Canis lupus familiaris: one gene and its partner. The protein of the gene in region 2 purifies or fractionates together with the protein of the main gene of each other region. This does not show direct contact. Links are inferred from orthologs where the notes say so. Each region holds a gene or a part of one and is shown on either strand. Other genes may lie near its edges. The genes, in order: TRIM21 and IRF7.

What was found.
Region 1: the proteins of IRF7 (region 2) and TRIM21 purify together in Homo sapiens (affinity purification with mass spectrometry; 3 studies listed by BioGRID, with this or other methods). This does not show direct contact. The link is inferred for Canis lupus familiaris from reciprocal best matches to the Homo sapiens genes IRF7 and TRIM21.

What each region holds. Positions count from the first base shown.
Region 1 is NC_049242.1:26,904,791-26,912,069, forward strand, and holds the start of TRIM21 (E3 ubiquitin-protein ligase TRIM21), read right to left. Parts: upstream 4,968-7,279; 5' UTR 4,849-4,967; intron 3,837-4,848; 5' UTR 3,790-3,836; coding exon 3,382-3,789; intron 2,895-3,381; coding exon 2,769-2,894; intron 1,768-2,768; coding exon 1,537-1,767; intron 1-1,536. UniProt on the Homo sapiens protein: E3 ubiquitin-protein ligase whose activity is dependent on E2 enzymes, UBE2D1, UBE2D2, UBE2E1 and UBE2E2.
Region 2 is NC_049239.1:26,057,503-26,064,809, forward strand, and holds IRF7 (interferon regulatory factor 7), read right to left. Parts: upstream 3,889-7,307; 5' UTR 3,868-3,888; coding exon 3,848-3,867; intron 3,773-3,847; coding exon 3,610-3,772; intron 3,536-3,609; coding exon 3,331-3,535; intron 3,024-3,330; coding exon 2,968-3,023; intron 2,870-2,967; coding exon 2,662-2,869; intron 2,490-2,661; coding exon 2,394-2,489; intron 2,316-2,393; coding exon 1,815-2,315; intron 1,730-1,814; coding exon 1,611-1,729; intron 1,528-1,610; coding exon 1,372-1,527; 3' UTR 1,329-1,371; downstream 1-1,328. Other genes in the region: PHRF1 (PHD and RING finger domain-containing protein 1), read left to right, coding at 1-32, 441-584; CDHR5 (cadherin-related family member 5), read right to left, coding at 6,026-6,445, 6,665-6,831.

The DNA of each region.
Region 1 (7,279 bases), on a different chromosome or scaffold from region 2:
GGGAAGGAAGGGCTGTTTTATGCTGGAGTTAATGCTGCTTTCTCATGTATGTGAAATTAAATCATTTGAGCATATGCTGTTGTAGGGCTTGGGAGACCTTACCTGGGAACTGGCAGAGTCCTAGGCCCAGTCAAAAGTGTGTTAGAAAGCATGGCTCAGTGTTGGGCAGAAGCAAGATTTAGAGGATGAGAAGGGCAAAAACAAAAACAAAACAATGGCTTCATGACCACATCCGACACAGACACCAAAAAGGTTTGAAAGAGAAAAACTGTACAAGGTTAAAGCAGAAGGGACTTTTGAGACCCTCTGGTCAACAGTTTGCCACAACAAGGCAAACATATTAGGGGATGCAAGATAATTTTAAGTAGAACACACATCGATGAGTTTTTAAAAAATAGTTATGTGCTTATTTTAATTTTAGCTCTGTCTCTTACTATTTGGGTGAACCTGGTCAAGTTATTCAGCTTTAGTCTCTAAGTTTCTCAACCTCTCTGCCCCTCTGTTTTCTCATCTATGAGACGAGGATAACAGCACCCATCTCACTGCATTGTTGTGACAGATCGAATAGACCGAGGCATGTCATATGTGCTATTTAAGAAAGAGCCGTTGTCATGAAAATAGAAAAAAAATCAGCAACATATCAACACATGATTTCTTGGCTACTGTTGCTTAGGACAAATTTCCTTTTAAGCTAAATTTCTTCCAATGAAGGTGTAAGGCAATGTCAAGAAAACAACATTCTGGGGCACCTGGGTGATTCAGTGGTTGAGTGTCTGCCTTTGGCTCAGGTTGTGATCTGGGGTCCTGGGATGGAGTCCCGCATGGGGCTCCCTGCGGGGAGCCTGCTTCTCCCTCTGCCTATCTCTCTACCTCTCTCTGTGTCTCATGAATAAATAAATAAAATCTTAAAAAAAAACCAAAAACATGCTAACAGGATTTGGGTAGTGCACAGAAGTGGCAGAAAGTGTGAAGATGATATATCAGTGACTAATGTCTGGGGAATCCTTGTTATTCAGTCTACTCCCTCCCCCTTGTTTCACAAATGGAGAAAGTAGGTCTAGGAAAAGGAACAAACTTGACCTAAAATTATGGAAAGGATTGGTGGCAGGGCTGGGGCTGGGCTACTGTCTTTTAATTTCTAGTGCTGTATTTTCAGTTACATGTATGAGAACGTTCCCATGGCCAAAGGCTCACGTAGAAGGTTTTGTGGTTTCTCTCATTTAATCCTCACAAAAATCCTTTGAGAGATGTACTAATATCCATTTAACATATAAGAAATTTGACTCCGAAAGGTTAGGAACTTTCTCAAGGTTGTGGGCCTAGTATGTGTTAGAGCAGGTTCTTGCTGGGGATGCCGTTCTTTTCAATTGCTGCAAGGAATATTTCCTCCTAAATCTGCACCATTCTGTGGCTTGAATGTAAACTACTCATGGGTCTGAATTCCAGGGACAGGGTTTCTACTTGCTGTTGGCAGCATCAGGGAGCTCTAGCCATTTTTCAGTTCCTCCAGGAGCCTCAGAGAAGAGGGTGGCTCACCTGCAGCAGCTCTAGGGGTGAGCCCTTGCTCCTCCTCTCCAGCTCCACAACCAGCTCCTGCAGGGCTTGGGTCTTCTGGGCCAGCATGGCCTCTGTCTCCCCTAGGATTCTCAGCTGCTCCCTCTCCTCCATGTCTAGCCTCTGCATTTGCCTCTGTTCCTCCGCAGCCAGGAAGTTTATCTGCTGTACAAATTCTGCGTGAATCCTCCGTTTGTGTCTCTCAACCTGACTCTTTGGTGTCCATGGAAAGAGAGGATGATTTTGTCAAAATCCCCTAAGCCTGGGGAACAGAGGTGGTCATTTCCATTTCTATTCCCCATAGACTCACCACTCTGGGTCTGAGAGCAAACATACACTATTTTGCTAGAGCAGGAAGTGGGTGAGGCTTCTGGGCTAAGAGTGAAATGGGATTATGGTGGGGCACACTGGGGCTGTCCTACAACCACAGCTGCATTGACCTATGTTATCGACTTTCTACAGCCTCTTTCAAAACCCAGTCTGCACCTCGATGTGCCCAAATCTGTCTTCATATCTTAGTGAGTTCCTGAGAGAGTAACACCTGTCCCCACCCCAACAACCATCCAAACACAGGCTCATAACACTGTTCCCCAGGCCTGAGGAAAAGGAGTTTTGGGGATAATCTTGGCTGCTCTTCTGTTAGTGACTGGAAGGTCACCGATGGCACAGGATGAGTCCTTTTGCCACCACAGCCTGACTCACCCTTCTCTGATCCCAAATCTTCCTTTCTGGGCTCTATTGGCCATGAGTTCCCTCCATGCCCTTATAGATACAGAACAAGCTTTATTCTCCATCCTACTTTGGACCAGTGATCTGAACACAGTCAGAAAAACCAGCATGACCAGATAGTTGCCTATGTCTGACCTGGATTGTTCCCTTAAGTCTGTACCTCCTGACAGGCCTAGCCATTGGGCATCTCTCCTGAGAGACCACTGACCAGACATGGAGGCAAAGGTGCCGTCATGTTTTAAGACTAGGCTTAAGGAGCAGGAGCTTTAGGGTATGGCTTGTACCTCTCCGAAGGGTATGGCACCTTCTCCTAAGACTCTTGATTTTGCTATCTGATCTGAGCTCTCTCCTTTTTATTCACCTCTATCAAGAGACCTAGAGGACAGCTGGTTCATGGTGAGTGAGATATATTATCACTCCTCAGATGGGCATAGCTATGCTTAGGGTTTGAGTCTGGGGCCCTGGACTCTGCCCTGGCTTCTGACCTGAGATTCCCTTTGGAGCACAACACTTGCCTTCCAGGCTGCTCTCTTCATTGCAGTATTCACTTCCAACTCCTCAGCCAACTTTTGTTCTTTTCTCAGTTTCCTTAATGCCACCTTAAGCTTCTCCTGCAGAGAAAGGTAGGTTAGCGCCCGACCAGTCCAAGAAGTAGGGTGAGGCGCCATGAAGACATGCTGGTTCTTTGAAAAACTTGAGTGCAGAGAAAGAGGGAAGACTACAGTCTGATTGGGATAGAGATTCTGGGGATGGGAAGACTTTGGCAAGAGCCTGAGGTTTCTTTCAAAACACAGCCACGCTGTTGGAGGTGGTGGTGTGGAGTTGGAGCATTCCTCATTCCTAATTAACCAGAAGGCCACAAGGAAGTGTGATCCTTGCAGCGTTTTCCCAAGCGTACTCCCTGGTCCTGGGGAATGAGAAAGCTGTCCTGAGCTTGCAGTTCTCTGCTTCAATTAGACCTGGAAGGTGGGAAACCCCTTCCTTTTCCCAACCCTGAAACTCCACAGGTGACTTTGCCTCCCTCACTCTGGAGAACAAAACCCCAAGCACGGACCCAGCTCCCTTCTACTTGGTCAGGCCTCTGTGCTAAGTCCTTACCTGGTATTCCTGAGCAGCCTCCTCGACAGGGACCGTTTTGTGGTTACGGTGGTTCTGGGACTGGGAACATACCCAGCAGAGGATCTTCCCATCTTCCTCACAGAACAGGTGCAGTCTCTCTCCATGTACCTGACACCATTCCCTCTGTGTGACTTCATTGGCATTCTGGCCAATTTGTTTAAGGTTGTCCACCACGTTAGCCAGTGGCCAATTGGGCCGGAGGTTTCGGAGCAAGAAGGTGTGCTGACACACAGGACAGACGCCGCCACCATCTTTCCCCACCTCAGAGATGCATTTGTGGCAGAAGCTGTGGCCACAGTCAATGCTCATAGGCTCCACTACAGGATCCAGGCAGATAGGGCATGTGACCTCCTCCCACATCATTGCCAAGGGCATTGCTGCAGCCATAGGGGTGATGTTCTTAGTAAGCAGCACTGTGGAGATCCTGGGGTACCCTGGTGGGGAGAGGAGAGAGGGAAATGAGCAGAAGAGAAGGGTTGTGTGAGAAGAAAAACAATCCAAAGGAAAACACAAGGAACAGTGAAGTGGAAGGGGTGAAAACAACACCAGAACATTAACTTGAATAATAAGAGCTTCTCCTCTCTAGTCTCATCCACTTACCTAGTCAGACAGAAGGGGAAACTGAGTCCCCCAAAGAAACTGAATGTTGTTGAGAACTTCAGAGATAAAGCTGTTTATAACTCTATTTTCATCATGGCCCTCTCTGCTTCATCCTCTGTCCCAGGCTTTTCCTGTCCACTCTCTGCCCTCTCAGGTCACCAGTCCGCTGCTGAGCAGCTCATCTGTATGACAGGGACCATGTACTCTGTACACTCCATAAGCCAGAGAAGGTGCTACCTGCTTTGGAAATATCTTCATTATCTGCACAATAATCACAGGAGTTACTTCTATATCTGTGATTATATACATAAGAATATATTTCTACATATCTGTCTGTATGTATATATACCTGCAGGTATATGTGTGCATATGGGTACCTGTATATGTTTATATGCGCACATGAACAGTGCCTGAGCACTCCCTGGGCTCTCCTCTCCCTTCTGGGAACCTGGTAGCTGGCTTCATTGCCTCTGGGGCACAGACCCACAGGTTTCTAGCGTCTGAAACTGTCCTGCCCCCTCTCACCCCCAGAGGAGAAGTGTCGAGGGGAGTGCCCGGACTACACTCCGGGCTGGGCTAGGTTTCTGCCCCGGTGCCCCCCGCTTAGGGCAGCGCCCCCGGGGGCTTGGGTGTCACGTTCACATTTGGGGCCCCGTCCCAGGCAGGCTGCCAGCCCGGGAGGAACTGCTGGGGCTGGGGCTGGGACTGGGGCTGGGACTGGGGCTGGGGCTGGGCTAGCCCTGGGGGAACCGGGTCTGCAGGCCCCAGGGGCGAGGACTAGATGGGGCAGGGGAGAGAGGTCCCCCAGCCAGGGCGGGGGCACTCGGGTCGGGGCGAGTCACTCACCTTTTCAGGGCTTTCGGCAGCCGGCGGCAGGCTCCCTATTTCACTTTCGATTTCCCGTCGAGGCGTGTCCGAAGGGGGTGGGCCGAGGGGCGGGGAGTGGGAGGAGAGGGAGGCGCGAGGGGCGGGGGAGCAGGCGGGGCAGCTCGGGAGCCCCAGGCGGCAGGAAGTCCGAGCTCCGCAGCGTCAAGTCCTTGCTTCGCGTCCCCTCCCAGGTCCTCGGGGTCAAACAAGAAAATATCGCATCCACGGTGGAGGGGTCACGCTGCCTCCTCGGACACTGGTCGTCTCGCTCCACACCTACGTGCTGGGCGACGCCCACGAGTGGGAGCTGCTCTCAGGGAGTTAGGGAGGGTGGGATGGCGACAACGTGCCTGGGGCTCTCCCTTACGTGTCACCCTCTGCTTCCAGAAACAAGTCCTTTTCAGGAAAGGCTTGATAGTCTTTTAACATCAGCTGGTGAGGGATTTATGTACAGCACGATCCCAAGGCAGGTGTCATACCAGTGAATGGTAAGAAGAGAATTGACATTTATTAGGCACCAACGGTGTACTTGTCACTGAGCTAGGGATTTTCTGAGGTTTTCTTTTTTTTTTTTTTTAAATTATGGTAAAACATATGTAACAAAATTTACCATTGTAACAATTTTTAAGTATATAGTTCAGTGGCATTAAATGCATTCACATCATTGTATCCCCATCCGCACCACTCATACGACTTGTTTCATCTTGCCAAACTGAAATTCTGTTGCCTGTTAAACAGTATGTTCCCTCAGCACCCAGCAGCTACATTCAATTTTCTGTCTCTACGAATTTGACTTCTTTAGGTGCCCCCAACGTAAGTGGAATCATATAGTATTTGTTGTTTTGTGACTTATTTCACTTAAAAGGTCCTCAAGGTTCATCCATGTTGTACAAGCATGTGACAGGGTTTCCTTCCTTTTAAAGGCTGGATAATGTTCCAGTGTTTGTATATGCATTTTGTTTATCCACTCATCTGTGAATGGACACTTGGGTGACTTCCATCTTTTGACTCTTGTGAATACTGTTACTGTGTCAGGTTACATATTTAAGCCACATAACGATTTAGTGATTTAGGAGATGTTAAACTCACATTCCAGGAGAGGGCATTGAGTCTGAATGGAGTAAAATGACTTGAGACATAGTAAGAGGTGCATGAGAGTTAAAGGTCTAGGGAAGACCGTCATTTTAGTGACAGCCCAGAGATAACAGGCTGCCCTGTCAACTCAAGCAGAGACTGTGAGGAGGAAGGAGAAACAAGGAAGGGTGAGGAGACTAGAATTCTCAATTCCTTCCGACTCAGACATATTTATTTTTGTCCCTGTATACCTTAAGATAAAAACATCAGTTGAACTTTGCTTAATGTTTTCTATAGATTTAGGAAACCTAAAGATACTTCATCTTTCTTTCAAATTTCCAGTTCTGTTTTTAAGAGAATTTGTAAGTGGGTGGTTATCAAGTGACCTCTAATATTCAAATTGTATCACTGTACTGATTTGATTCCAGGAACATAGTCCCAGAAAGCAAAGTGGAAACAGTACAAAAAAAAATCAAAGGAAGAAGAGACCTATATATGAATTTGCAGACACTCAGAAAATGAGTCTGCTTCACATCACTACCCTCGCTCATTCCTATAGGCACTGAGTAAGCCAGCTGGTGGGTGTGGTAGAAAAGAACATAGACCTCATGATAGGGCAGACATGGATTCAGGGCTAACCCTGCTATTTACCAGTCACATGCCATCTCTCTGAGCTTCAGTTTACTTATCTATTAAAGATATTAATACACACACCACAGGGTTGCTTTGGTACGTGTTTAATAATATACATACAAAATCGATTAATATAACACATGCATGCTCAACAGTTCCCACCTTGGTATTGGCCATGAAACCAAAGGTACCACTCATTCTAAATTCCCTTCATTCACTGCCAGTAGCTTAGTACTTCAGTGTTCTTTTCCTGATGAGTCATCCAAATCATTCTTGAAGGATCAGTATCAATGTCCCTGTCTTTAATTCACTAGCCATTGTCATCAGGCAGTCATTACTAGGAATATCTCCAATGTATATTTTGGGTTTTAGGCATAGTTGTTATTGCCCCATTATGTACCAGCCACTTAAATTCTCCTTGGTAATAGGAATAGGTCACTCCAGTCAGTATAGAAACCCCATCCTCTGCCTATTTCATCAGTGGCTGCAGAAGCCCCACGGAGCCGGGGGATAGTTGTAAATTCCAATTTATTAGAACCAGGTTTGCTACCTACTCTGGTAGAAGGTCTTCTCCCAGACCTTAGGGCTGAGCCATATGTTAAGGGTTGGAAAGAAAGTGTTCTCTAAAGGAGTTCCTAGTCTGATGGTGATAGGGGCCACTTCTACCTCCCTGCCTTAGATTCTCTGAAGTGTGTGTATATAT
Region 2 (7,307 bases):
ACAAGGACATCCTCCGCAAGGCGGTACAGAAGGTGGGTGTGGGTGGGCAGGGCGGGGGCCGGGGCATCATGGTCACGTCCTGGCTGCAGCCAGAGGCCACTTCTGTCTTCCTGTCCCAGTAGCTCATAGGTGCTCGGGAAAGGTAAGCACTGGAGTTTGGGAGGGGACGGGACCGCGCTTTGTTGCTTGTTCTGTGGGCGAAGTAACAGAAGGTACGTAACGCACCATGCTTGCAGGTGGGAAAGCAGGAGCCCGAGACACCGACGGTTCTCAGGCCCAGGGCGTCAGGGCCAAATCCATGGCTCGTGGGCCACAGTCTCCAGCTGGGAGACGAACCCTCAGCCGCTGTGCGAGGCAGGCACAGCGGGGGATGTCGGGCTCTGTGCCCTGTGGTCCCTGTGGGGATGTGTGGGTCATCTGTGCCTCTCCTCTCCCCCCAGATATGCCACAGCAAGAGCGGGGAGATCAACCCCGTGAAGGTGGGCAACCTGGTCAAGGCCTATGTGGACAAATACAGACACATGCGCAGGCACCGCAGGGCCGAGGCTGGCGAGGAGGCGCCCGCCCAGGGCCCTGAGAGCTGAGGGCAGGGAGAGCGGGGGGCGATGGCCCCCGTCCCCAAGCAATTCTGTTGGGAGTGGCAGAAGCAGAAAACTCTGAAGACACCCAGCCAGCACTCCTGCATTCAGGGTTCTGTGATCACACGTGCTCTGTGCACTGGGCCTGCTCACAGTTTAAAACTGGACTTTTTTATATGTATATTATAGATACACACTGTTTCCATTGTGTTCTAATTTATCAAAAATGGATTATCTTTAGAAACTTGTTGATTGACTCAGTACTTGAAAGGTGAAGCCTCTGGCGATCGGGAGGGGCCTGGGGGGTGGAAGGAGCCCCCGACTCCCCTCACAGGTGCCCGATGTCCTGCCCTGTGTAATAAGGGAAGGCCACTCCCGGCTTCGCTGTCGTGGCTGTAAAGAACGCTCGTGTGTGCTGCCTCCCAGCAGGCAGCGCAGTGCTTGGATTGGAAGGCGGGGCCCTGCGCACAGCTGGGTCGGCCGCTTGTGGTGCCCACCCCCCAGCACACCTGCCAGGAGCAAACACCTGCTGTCCCCAGAGCGTTTTGTATTCTTTGAGTAGAGTTTGTTGGCTCTAAAGCGTGTGGCCTGTTTCTTCATGGTGAAGACAGAGGAGAGCGGGTTGCACGGGAGGCCTGAGTGGGAGTGCATGCAAGTGTGGTGGCGTCCCTCCCCGGGCCCCAGGGAAGTAGGGTGAGCCTCAGTCTGTGCTGCCCTCTGAGCGCCCACCCCTGGTCAGGACACCACGCATCGGTTCAAGTCCTTTTTATTGGCTGGGAGAGCGGCCCGGCGCTCAGGCAGGTGGCTCTACCTCCATGAGGAAGTGTTCCAGGTCCTCGTAGAGGCTGTTGGAGCTGGACAGGCAGAGGCCGAGGCTGCTGCTGTCCAGGGAGGACACCCCTTCTCGCTGCACGTACTCCAGGTGCGCCCGGCACAGCCGTGGCTCCAGCTGGGGGGGGGGAGTGGGGGGGAGGTTGTCGGCAGGCTGGCTGGGCACTGCGCACAGCCTTCCCACAGGACCCCATGCCTCACCTTCACCAGGACCAGGCTCTTCTCCTTGGGCCTTCCAGCCGACAGGTCCTGCCCAAAGCCCAGGTAGATGGTGTAGTATGGGGAGCCCCGACGCCGGCGAGCCCGGAACTCGGCCATCTCTGCAGGACAGGACCTGGTGAGCAGGGCCCGGTGGGACGGGAGGGGGTGGGGCAGCATCGGCCCCCGGATAGGCACGTCACTGACCTCGGAAGAACGTGCTGAAGTCGAAGATGGGGGTGTCCTGGTTCCTCTGCAGCAGGCGGGGGGCTGTGGAGGGGCTGGCCGAGCCCAGGGGCCCTCCCACCTCCCAGTAGACCTTGCATTTGCCCAGGCGCCGGGCCCATAGCCCCGGCCCCCGTAACTCCAGCTGCAGGCCAGGGGCCACGTGCTGCAGCAGCTTCTCTGTGTAGTGAAGCTGCTTCTGGTCCGCGAGCTTGGCCGGGCTTGGGAAGGCCACGCAGTGGGGCTCAGTGGCCCTGGTGGCCAGGCTGGGGGGCCCGTACAGGAGCACAAAGCTTGGATGCCACACCACCTCTTGCAGCACCGTGCGGCCCTTGTACATGATGGTCACATCCAGGGCCCTGAGCTCTGCCTGCAGTCCTGGCTGTGAGCAGCCGGGCCTGGCCAGGACCTGCTCCCCTGCCACTGGGGCGCAAGGCTCCACCTCTTGGGGGGGCTGCCACGGCTCCGAGGCTGGGCCTGTATCTGGAAGGAAAGGAGGGCTTGACTGGCACCTGGCCCCCCAAGCCCTCCGTCCTTCACACTCCCATGGGCTCCTCTCACCTGTCATCCGGGCCTGGTGCAGGACCTGGGGCTCAGGGCTTGGGGCCATCTCTGCTGCCCGTGGCTGGTATGGCTCCATGTCAGGGAGCTCTGGGCCTGAGCAGCACGACAATGGGCACAGCTGTGGCTCGCACCACCTCTACTGCACATCCTCCTCCCTCTCCACGAGGACCGTGCTGTCCTCCCTGCTCCTCCCCCCCCCCCCCCCCCCCCCCCCCCCCCCCACAGAGCCCTGCAAGGCAGAGCATCCCCATCTGGCCGGCCTCACCAGGAGTGCCTGGAGTGATTGCATCCACTCCCCATGCAGCTTCCAGCAAATGGTCCTCCAGGCAGCTCTGCTGTAGGGCCTGGAGCAAGAGATCCTCGGCATTGCCAGCTTGGCCCAAAGGGGCGCATGGGGCACAGGGCTCAGGGCTCAGACTGTGCCCCAGCCTCTGGCCAGCATCTCCTCCCAGGCATGGCCTAGGGAGCCCACCCTGCAGGGAAGACAGGGCCAGCATAAGCAGCTCCCCAGCCCAGGAAGGAGGGCAGCCCCCACCTGGGAACACGAGCACCGGGGGCAGAACCGGCTTACCATCAGTGGTGGGGTGTCTTCACCCGCCTTCTCCCCATGGTTAATCGCCGCAGCTCCTGAGGGAGAATGGGGTGAGACTGCAGTGGACATGATGTGTCCTTGGGTAGGCCCTCAGAGCAGGGTGGCTCCACCACTAATCCACCCCAGCAGGCCCAGTCAGCTCCCCCCCCCCCCCCCCCCCCCCCCCCCCCCCCCCCCCGTCCCCAACCACCTGGCACCTGCCTCTCTCAGGTCTGTCTCAAAACCCCGAGCCTGCCCCAGGGATGTGCTCCGGTACAGGGCGAGGTCCCAGCGCCCTCGCCGCACCGTGTCGGGCCTGTGCGCCCGGCTCCCCTACGGCGGCCCTGCCGTGGGGTTCCTCACCTCTGCACCCCGGCTCGGAGCTCAGTGCGTACACTTTATGTGGGTCAGTGGGGTCCCCGGAGTTGTCTTGGAGCATCACAAAGCGCTGGGTGCTGCGCAGGGCACAGCGGAAGTTGGTTTTCCAGCCGGCGCGGAGTGCGGCCTCGCAGGCCAGCTGGTCACGGCCGCCGCCGGGCGGCCACCTGCCTCGGGCCACCGCCCAGGCCTGGGGAGGGGTGGAAGGTGTGAGCCTGGGGCCCGCCCGGCCGCAGCCCCCCTGCCCGCCGGGCCGCGGCCCACCTTGAAGATGAGGGCGTCGGCCTCCCCCAGGTCCTTGCGCGCGAAGTGCTTCCAGGGCACGCGGAAGCGGGTGCGGCCGGCGTCCAGCCACCGCAGGCCCTCGTAGCGGCCGCTGCTCACCTCCCCCAGGAGCCAGTCTGCGAAGAGCGGGCGCGGGGCCCCCCTGCGGGCGGCGGCCGGCAGTCAGGGTGCGGGCGAGGCCGGTGGCCACGCACCCCGGCGGCGGGCGGGCGCTCACCTGTCCGCGGGCACGGCCATGGCCCGGGCGGCGGGCGGCGGGCGGCGGGCTGCTGCGGGTGTGCGGTTCCGGCCGCGGCGGCGCTGCTGTGAGCACAGGTGCGGGCGGCGCGGCCCGGGCGGGAGGGCGCTGGCGGGGCCCGCGGGGACCACAGCGGCACCGACGCCTGCGCGGGCGTGCCCGGGGGCGGGAAAGCGAAACCGCGCGCGCCCGGGAAAGCGAAACCTAAGCCGCGGGGAGGCCTCCGCGCTCGCGCCCCGGGGCCCCGGCGCTGCGACCCCTGTCCTCGGGCCCGCCCCGGCTCCGCGGGCCCGTCGCCGCCCGGGCTGCTCCCGCGCTGCACGCGCCGGGCCTCCGAGCACCTGCGCGGCGGGGCTCCGGGCGGGGAGGTGCGTCTCGCCGTGGGGCTGGGGACCCGCGCCTTTATGAGGCCGGCGGGGGGCGGGCCGGGGGTGGGGCGGGGGCGAGCCGGGGGCCGGCCGCGGCCGCAGGTGCAGCCGACTAGCGCTGCGGCGGAAGGTTCCCACGTGTGTTGACGGCAGCGCAGGCTGCGGAGTGCGGGCCGGGCCGGGCGGTGCAGGGGCGGCGGGAGGGCCTCAAGGAGCACCCCGCCCCCACAGAGGCGGGACGGGGCAGGGGGCCCCTGGCAACCAACCCGGGCCTCAGCTGAAGACCCCACACAGAACCAGGCTCTTCCTTTTTCCCAGGAAAGTGGGTGTTGAAGGAGGGCGTGGGGCAAGTGGCAGCCCTATAGTTCAGGTTCTCTTTTAGTGTTAAGTAGAGGGGGCCCAGAGTGGAGCCCACTGGCCGGTCCACAGACGGGAGTGCCCCGGACTCCGGGCGTGACCCCGGGGCCCGGAATCGAGTCCCGCATCGGGCTCCCCGCGGGGAGCCTGCTTCTCCTCCTGCCCATGTCTCTGCGTCTTTCTGGGTCTCTGATGAATTAAAAAAAAAAAAAAAAAAGAAAAAAACAGCTGAGATCAGAGTGGGATGCTCAACCAACTCGGCCATCTAGGCCGCCTCTTGGGGTTTTTTTTGATTATTTTTTTAAGACATTTATTTGAAAGACAGCTGCAGACTGGGGGGCGGGGGCAGGCAGAGGGAGAGGGTCCCCTAGAAGACTTCCCGCTGAGTGCGGACCCCACCCCCACCCCGGCTGGATCCTGGGACCCTGACATCACGACCTGAGCAGAAATCCACTGTCCCCAGGGAACCGAAGAACCAGCCAGGCGCCCCCCCCACTCGGTGGCTTTTCGATTTTTTAAGATTTTATTTATTTATTCATAGAGACACAAAGAGAGGCAGAGACACAGGCAGAGGGAGAAGCAGGCTCCATGCGGGGAGCCCGATGTGGGACTCGATCCCGGGTCTCCATGGTCACGCCCTGGGCTGCAGGCGGCGCTAAACCGCTGCGCCACGGGGGCTGCCCAGCTTTTGGATTCTTAATGAGAATTATCCAGACAAGAACATTCACATGTCCCTAAGAATAAGACATTTGTTTTTTTTTTGTTTTTTTTTTTGTTTTTTTTAATATTTTATTTATTATTTATTTATTTAAGTCACAGACAGAGAGAGAGAGAGGCAGACACACAGGCAGAGAGAGAAGCAGGCTCCATGCACCGGGAGCCCGACGTGGGATTCGATCCCGGGTCTCCAGGATCGTGCCCTGGGCCAAAGGCAGGCGCCAAACCGCAGCGCCACCCAGGGATCCCTAGAATAAGACATTTGGAACGGCATTGGGGATGCCTTTTCATCAGGAAAAGCGCGGAGGGCCCACGAGGGTCAGGGAGGTCCCCCCCTGAGGAGGCCCCCAGAGGGGTTCTGTCCCCGCTGCGGCCGCTGCGCCCCGCAGGCCCGGGACCTCGCCCTCCAGAGTAGTGTTCCCGAGGGGGGCCCCTCAGCCCCCAGGCAAAGAAGGGGTGCCCCCGCCGCGCAGGGTGCGGCCGCGGTCACACCGGGAGAGGAACTTGGGCCGCCAGCTGGCTCCAGCCCGGGAAGCCCCGAGGCGGCAGGTGGTTTACGGGAAGCGGGACGCAGAGCTGCGGGGGGCGGGGGGGAGGGGTGGGGGAGGGGACGCATAGGCCACGCCTTCCCCTCCGGCGGCGGCTCTGGGCACCCTGGCGCAGCAGAGCTTGGACACCGTGCCTTTATTTTGCGCGGGGGGCGGGGGGCGCCGGGCTAGACGTAGGTGGAGCCCCCGCCGGGCTCCCCGTCCTCGTCGTCCCCGTCGCCGCTGTGCTCGCTGCCCGAGTCGGGGGCGCGGGCCGCGTCGGGGGCGGGCGCGTTGAGGACCACCACGTCGGCCTCGGCCCCGATGTCCTCCCCGAACCACACGGCCTTGTAGCCGCCCTCGTCGGGCCGCCGCTCCTTGGTCAGGATGGACCTCACGGCGGCGGGGCTGCCTCCATCCCGGGCCGCCTCGGGGGCGCCGGGGGCAGGGCCCGCGGCTGCGGAGCCAGAGGCCTCTTGGGGCGTGGGCTCGGGGGGCTCGGGGGGCCCCGCCCGCGTGGGGCCGGGGGAGGCGCGCGGAGCCGGCGCCCAGTTGGCCTCTTGGGGGTCCGAGAAGGCCTGGTTGTCGAAGGCGAGCGCCTGGTGGTCCTGGCGGGGAGACGGGACGATCAGGGCATCACCCAGGCCCCGGCCCGGCTGGGGCTGGGACTGTCCCCGGAGCCGTCCTGGGGGACAGGGCCGCGGGCTGGTCTTTCCTTTCCTTGCCGTGTCCGCCTCCACACTCCGTGGGCTGGGACGACCGCCCGGCCCCCCCTCCTGCCCTCCCCCGTGGGCCCTCGGTGCTGCCCCCGCCCGCTCAGGCCTCACCAGGGCTTTTCCGGAGCAGCACTTGAGCCGCCTGCCGAACTGCTTGTGGCCCAGGATAACGAGGGCGATCAGAGCCAGGAGCAGCAGCGCGCCCAGCACCCCGCCCAGGGCCGCCATGTCCACCGCAGAGAAGCGCCGGTCCTCAGCTTGGCTCTGGGCCGGTCCTGCTGGCAAGGCCACCGGCTACTGCGGGCACCCGGCACCCCCACCACCCACCCCAGGCTCTGCACCCCCTGACGTGACAGCTGAGGCTCCGGGGAAGGGCACTACTCACCCCCCGACCGAGGAGCTGGCTGCTCCCAGGGGCCGTCGGGGAGGCCGTGCTGCAGGAGGCAGGGCGGGCGGGCGGGCGTCAGTGCCCACCAGCTCCCAGTGGAAGCCAGGGGTCCGGCACCCTGGAAGGCCATGAAGGCAGTGCTGGGGCCGGTACACGGAAGGCCTGGAATCGCGGGGTCCCCCGGACCCCGAATCTGGCTCCTGCCCCATGCTCTGGACACCTTCCCCGGCCTGCCTAGTCAGGGGCACCCGGGGCCTGTGCCTGCCCGGCCCAGAGCAGGCTGTCTCAGGATTTCACGGTCAGCGTGGTCGTGCTGGGCCACCCCAGGCAGACTCTGCCCTACCAGGACCCCCAGGACCACCCCGA